Linked DNA regions of Schizosaccharomyces pombe. Changing the gene in region 2 together with the main gene of any one other region gives a genetic interaction. Each region holds a gene or a part of one and is shown on either strand. Other genes may lie near its edges.

Region 1 (3,757 bases), on a different chromosome or scaffold from region 2:
ACCAGCGAGCCCATGCTAAATCCAAGGGTTAGTATACAATAAATGTACAGAAGTTTAAGGATGTAGAAAAGGTTAAGAATGAAAGACTAATAGAACAGTAATGGAAACAAAAATGTTTAAAAAATAACGAAAGATGTAAATGTAGACCAACAAGCAGACCATTTAAAAACAGTTTATAGGAAGAAAAAGCTATAATTCAAGCTGATGGAATAAGAAAATCAGTTGTGCTCAATCTTTCTCCAAAAACGGATTTTTTTGCTCTATTATTCAATTATTTGCAAAACTTATTTCCTCTTTGAGAAACTAAAAGCAAATAAAAAAAATCCACCATCTATTCCTATTCCTTTAATTTATACTAACTTACCATGAAATGCGAATTTACGACCAAGAAACTTTCCTAACAACGGGAACACCACCAAACATAAAACTCGTTCCAATTGTTCAATGGAATCCTTTAAATCATCATCCAATTCACTAGAATAGGTATCATCTTCTCCATCTGAAATTGGGTCAATTTCAAGATCTAAAACTTCGGCCATGTTGTTTTCACTAAACTGACTTTAGAATAGTTCGATTGAACTAGCAACGTTGTATTTAGAATTTAATTAAAAAATTTTTCTATTGTCAGCAATCGAAACCCCTTTAACGTATGCTTAAAAGTGTATTATTACCAAGTATGGCTCTGGTGAAGGTCACATAGTGGCTGTTACATTTATACATAGGACATTTGTCGAAACAACATTGATCATGTGAGACTAAATTTTGAAAACAGGGAGTATATTCAGCAAAAATAATTCATATTCACTGATGATAAGAGGTTATTTGTTTCTATATGCTTTACCTATGAGTTTGGGTACATTGTTTGTATTCTTGGTATTGCTAGTTTATTCAATTTCAGATGAAAGCTGAGCAGAACAGCCGCTGTCATGCTATTCGCGGATACCCTTTGTTTCACAACAAATATTTCGACCTAAGAAAAGCCTTTATTTTTGCCATCCTTACCTCTAAGTGCTTTGTTTGGTAACACTTTATTGAAGAATTGATAGACCGTTATAAACATAAAACAAAAAAAAGTTGGGAGTTTTGGTTTTTTTTAGTTACTCTTTTAAAGAATGCATTTTTCCACGAGGTTTCTTGATCGAACACAGTAGGAGCAATATAATTTATCTTCAAAACAGTTGAATGTGAAACATCAATAACTGAAGAAGTTTGGTTTTCATACCTCCTTGCGTATTCCCTATTCATAAATAAATCATATAATTTAGAATTATCCGGTATATGAAGATAGGAATTTGTGTGCTAGAATTTAGCAAGATATAAACAATGCACATTGGTGTGACATTTACAAAATTGGTTGACGAATTCTGTACTCTCACTTTTTGTCAGTAGACGTCTTTTTTAGGATCTTCTCTCAAATTCAATTATAACTAAGTTGCGTGAAACCAGACTAAATTCAATTGATAAAGTTGTTTAGTCAATTAGCATTTTTTATAACAGCATCAATGCATGTCCTAATAAAGAGTTAAGATATTTTTTTTCCTTTTAATCTTACTGTAGAAACTTAAATAGTTATTATCCTCGTAGAATTGCTCTATCCTTATTACGCGCACTCAGGAAGATGAAGACTTCACAAACACCAAATCATTGCTTAATTTTCGAAAACGCTGCGATTGTTGTTGATAGTTGACCAGAAGCATACTAATTTTTATTTACTTATATACTTGAAAAATTGCAAATCATATGGTTGAAAGTCTTTAAGGGAATGACCTAATAAATGCTAGAAAATGAAAATCAACTAACGCATCAATTTCCTACATTATCAAGATGGAACCCCATGTTTATTAGCGATGTTCATAAAATTTCATTTCATCCACATTTACAGCGTAAGTGCTCTTTCTGTAAAATAAATATCACAAAGTGATTCTTACAAATATCTAGGATACATTGGCTTCTGGATGGGATTTCCCATAAGATGGATTCAAATTGTTGGCTATATTGCGGCAATTGATATTTATGAAGGAAAGCATGTTTTAACAGGTAACGAATATCAGCATTGAGGCAATAAGCAGTTCCACTACTGCATACACGACTCATTTAGTTGTTGAATCTAGTTAAGGTTTTTTATAAAATCAACTTTTGAGAAGCATCTGCCTCTATAGCTCCCTTTTTTCTATTTCCTAACTGAATTTAGTGGATGATTGTAGCGGGATGGTATTGCGTGTCGTGTTTATTATTCAAGATGATTTTTCAATGTCAAAAAGAGCAATATCTATGTCTCCTGGAAATGTTGTCTGTGTCTTTGGAAAGATAAATTCTTTCCGATCTGAGGTTGAATTAATTGCTCAGTCGTTTGAAGAACTTCGTGATCCAAATGATGAATGGAAGGCATGGCAGAAAAGGATGAGATACAAAAAAAATTTAACCAAAATCTCTAAAAATCACCATTCAATCATTCGCACACCCAAGAAATCCTATTTTCCTAAAGATCATGCGAAGGAGTTACTTAAGTGCATAAGGCAGATGTGTAAATTAAATGTGCAAGCTGGATTTACAATTGAAGAACTCATTATTTATTTAAAAGCAAAAGAGTTGCACCTCCCACTTGTTCATATATTCAACGTCGAAAATGAAATAGTAGAGAACTGTGATGGAAATCACATACTGGCGCTTAATTTCTCTTTGCAAACATTACTACAACATGGGCGGATTGTGAGAAAGTCAAATTCAGTTTATATGCTTGTCACTTCAAAAGACATAATACGCTTTGTGATTCCTCTGATGGCAAGTGGTCTTCTCGAAGCCCACAAGGTTCAAAGCATAGTGAGAGATTCCAACCCAATGTTTATCACACTCCCTCTTTCTGCGATTGCTAAACACATTTGTCAATTTTTGCTTCGTACAAAAGGGAAATGGAGGCAAGCAAAGAAATATACCTGGGTGCGAGATAATCAGTTTGTATAAAATGAATTTCCAGTTTCCTTTAATATCACATTGACGCGGAGATTTAATTGCCTAAAACTAAGTTCATTGTTCTATATGCAATATTACAATCCTCTATTAATTTAAGAATATGTTTACGGAAACAGATCAATAAGTACACATGGGTATATAAGCGGTTAATCTGATGATGAAATAGATTTACATGTATAAAGCTTTCTTTTTTACTTTTGAATTGATCAGTAGCATCATTGCATCAAATTTAATTAATGGTCAGCACCAATTCATCAGCTGCTTATACAATCTAGGGTAAAGAAATATAACTAAGCATGATAATAAGTTACTCTTAATTTCCTGAAGTTCAAACTTGAAATGCTTTGCATCGCTTACTGGCCTAAGCATCGTACTTCGATTATTATAGTTGGAAGTCATGAGGATAAAACTATGTCTTTTCTGATCATGTCGTAAAATCTAGCTGCTCTTCATACTGAAATTGGAATATTAGATAAGATTTAACTACTAAAAAAAAAGATTAAGGCATCCGATTGCCAATTGTATAGATTGCAATGATGCTCCTTACTGCTTTGAAGTTGAGTAAAAACGAGATAAGCCCATAAACTTATGCAATTTATTTTAGTTGTTTTTAACTACTAAATTGACACTTCATATTGGTGGTTGTTATTTTTTTTTAGGTATCGAAGAATTGCTTATGGTCGTAGAGTTATGTCAATCTATTAATTGATCCAGTATTCTCGCACTGGGAGATCACACATCGAATAAAATTTATTTCGTTTCAATAAGCAACAATAAATATAATAAT
Region 2 (3,757 bases):
TTGAGGAACCGACGCTGTAGAATACATAGGTTGTTCAGATGTATAACTGGGTTGGTGATTTCCAGGCTTACTTTCAAGATAAGATGGTTGATTTGGAGTATATCGATCATAGGAATAAGAATTAACAGGCATCGATTGTGATGATTGCATATAGGATATGTTGGCATGAGTATTGTCCATTGGAAGGGCATTATTACCGTCAGGATGAGCAGCAGATTGGTTTGAAGAAGCAAACATGGTGGAGCCCATTGGGACATTTCTAGATTGGTAGATGAAAGGATACAAAGCTTGTGGCTGACCGTTAACGGCATGTTGAGCAGCAGGGAATGGATGAGATTGTTGCTGTCGAGAGAAACGTTGAGAGGGTATTTGGAAAGGCTGCTGCAAATAAGGAAGAGATGGCATGCTAGAATAGCCAGACTGTGGAGGAGTCAAAGAAGAGTGCGCATTGTGTGCATCAGCCATAGTTGAAGGATCCACACCCATGTGAGGGGGAAGCGAGCTATGGTGAGGAGGATGGATGGCACCCATATCTAAATGGCTCGAAGAAGAAGATGATATAGTAGCGACGGGATCAGGAAGAGTGCTAATGGGAGGAGCAACGTTAGGATTGGAAGTTGTAGACGACGAAGAGTTATCAGCAGACAAAAGACAAGAGTTGGCCATCAAAGGGATAGAGTTATTGGGAGAATCGTGGGAGTCAGGAGGAGGACGCTTTAAGGCTAATCTCTTACGACGATAATGCAAAGCACGTTTCGAAAGTTTTAAACCAAAGTTCGCCTCTATCTGGGCCAAAGAATCTTTATCACTTTGTCGCGCATGAAATAATTGGGTAACGAGTTCATCGAGAGCCTTTGAAACGTCGCCCGAAGCGGTTCGCGCGGCGGCCTCTTCGGTTCGGGGCGAGACAAAACGTTGACGATGTACTCGAATTCCCCATCGAGCCAACACGCGTTTGTATGAGCGAATACTAGAGAAAAGTTAGCAAGAGTAATGAAACAAAACAACAAAAAAAAAGAGCTAAAGAGACAAGTACGCGATACGTGAACATAAACGTGAGCGAAAACGAAGTAGCGAAAGACAACTTCAACGCAACGCCAAATGAAATAGAGGAAAGGAAAACAGGATGGATTCATATGGCATGGTCTTTTGCATGAGCATGCACATGATATACATGACGGGTTATTGTTTAGGACATTTGTATCCTGTATGTAAGTGGATTGGACAAAGTGGATGAAAAAAAAGATATTCCAAACAAAACAGCAAACCAAAAAGACAAAGAAACAAAGAAACAAAATTTCATTGTTGAATGAATGTCTCAGTTGAGGATGTTTTGGAAAACTGCCATCCTGTTTTATTGTCGCAACCCCACATACCCAACAATAGCCAATGTCCATGCAGGCACGACACACAACGACGACCTACACCCAAACATCCAAACACACAATTCCATTCACCTTCTCGTACCTCTAGCCCTGTACTTATTCGCTCCTCGTCGCATCGCAAGCATCTCGCACAAAATGGCGCAACTTGTAGTCCCTGCGGCGACACCAACAAACTACTTACCTAGCGTCAAATTTATACATCTTTGACATTCTCGCCTGCAGCTCGCGAATCGTCATTCCATTGATCTTGGAAAGCTCGATGATCTGCTCTCTTCGACATTCCCATTCCTTCGTCATTGAAATCGAACTTTCGGTTGTCTAATGTTGTTTCAAGTTGAGATTGGAAGTGGCCAGAGTTGGTGGTAGTGGTGGCTCGTAAAGTAGGGGTGAAAATAGTGTATCAATTTAGTGCACGAATGACAACAACGTTAAATGATAAAATAGAGCGATCCAAGGTACACCCCCGGAAACATGTAAGGAACATCGGGTCAAAGAGGATAGAAATATATAGCCAAAAAGGGCGCAACTTTTTTCTATCATCTCAGGCATTCGGAAAAATGACCTCGTATCGATGGTTGCCATCTTTCCAATCACATCGTGAGATATTCATTAAATATTGCTCATGGAGAATTTCGGTTTCACTGTTAAGCCGCTTCGTATGATGGCGCTTCCCTGCTCTTATCCATCCAACAAAACTCATTACTCCTTTCGCACTCAAAGTACTGAAACTCATTCTACTCAACACTACTCTTAGGTAGGTTAGGTTAGGTTAGGTTGGGTTGGGGGAGTTTGGGCCTTTGCTATCCCATATGTCTTTTGGCACGTTTGATCTATTGGTAGAGGGTGGACTCGCTAGCGGCAACTTTTTTCTTTTACCAACTCTTTTGTTCGCTTCTTCCACCTTTTGTCAACTCAACAATAACCTTTAACGTTAAATCCTCGACGAGAGCATTCTGTCCCATTTCCAGTAAGTGAAGGATGAACGTTAGAAAGCTGACATGTTCGCGATTTGGTCTGCTAGTAAATGTTGGGCAGAGATGCCTGCTTGCCTTGTCTTGCCAAGGTATTTTTTTCTTTTCGCAAACGAGTAACAGGTTGCTTTGGAGACGACATGGGTATCTGGAGACGAGTGTCTGAGAAAAAAAATTGAAAATCCGAAATCATGATCAACTCCGAACGTACCTAATTTGGATGGACGAAGAGGAGGAAGAAGCGAGCACCCATGAAAGAGAGCACACTGATGCACGCATCCATCAAGTGTTACAAGACAGAGGTAATAGTAGATGAAATAGAAGGGATGGCAAGGTAAGATATGAAAAGGTAGGGTAAGGCATGGGATAAGAAGAGAAATAGGATAAGAAAAGAAAGAAAGAAAGAAGAAAAATAAAAATAAAAATAATACTAAAAAATAATTGGGGTAATTTCTTTCTTTTTCCTTAATTTATTTTAAAGTTCTTTGATCGAGTATTTCCTTTTTATCGACTTCTTCCTCTTGACACTGCCGATGTCCTTTACCTTGCAAAACTTATGCTATCGCTCATCCCGAGGAAAGTTTATAAACTTGCTAGTAAGACTCGTTGTTTTCTTACTACATAATCCACCTTGTATTCTTTTAGTATACAATTTTAACATACTTTATAGCAGCTTCATTTATACAACATACGGAATAGCATAATTTATTTATTAGAAACTTTTCATAACATACTTTATTCGTATAACATACTCCACTCTATTATTTGTATTATCATCACACTGTCTTGTAAATATAACCCAATAAGTAAATGAATAACTAAATATTAAAAAAAAATATATATTTTGTAACACTGGGATGCCAGTTTTATGCCACTCGCATACCTTTCGCATCCATATCAGACACAACTCTATTTCCTTCAATTTGGCAAACTCTGCGTCCGCCAAAATAAAATCATCAAGTCATGTGAATAAACATAAAGTTGAATGTAACATGTGAACAAAAACATAAAGTTGTGTGAATTTTGCAGATCTTATTACATTTGTCTTTTTCTATTTTTATATCAACATAAACTAAGGAATCCCATCTCCAAAAAAGAAAAAAAAAAAAAGGAAATAAAATTATATGTATATATTTTTATCCATCAGTCTCTCTCACAACAATTCATTGAACCAATATAGTGATATGGATTACTTATTCCACCGTTACAATATATTCATTTAACGACTGGCATTACTCCACTACTTTATCAGCTTCGGTGTTTCCCACCCTATCTATTAGTCTTACTGCGTTTTAGTGTATGGGGTCGAATTTATGGGGGTCAAATTTCGTTACCCTCATAAAATTTTTTTTTCTTCTCCAACATGTCGTGCTAGAGTTAATCCATGCAACTCCACCTCCT

The links. Genes that interact genetically often act in the same process or in processes that back each other up.
Region 1: mutations in clr5 (region 2) and stn1 together harm fitness more than expected from each alone (negative genetic interaction), as found in Schizosaccharomyces pombe (one large-scale study listed by BioGRID).

Annotation. Positions count from the first base shown.
Region 1 is NC_003423.3:1,161,100-1,164,856, reverse strand, and holds stn1 (telomere cap complex subunit Stn1), read left to right. Parts: upstream 1-1,774; coding exon 1,775-1,883; exon of another isoform or gene 1,884-1,938; coding exon 1,939-2,037; exon of another isoform or gene 2,038-2,167; intron 2,168-2,191; coding exon 2,192-2,961; 3' UTR 2,962-3,372; downstream 3,373-3,757. Other genes in the region: protein mim2, read right to left, coding at 1-15, 365-539.
Region 2 is NC_003424.3:5,426,332-5,430,088, reverse strand, and holds the start of clr5 (silencing factor Clr5), read right to left. Parts: upstream 1,734-3,757; 5' UTR 1,683-1,733; coding exon 1,567-1,682; intron 971-1,566; coding exon 1-970.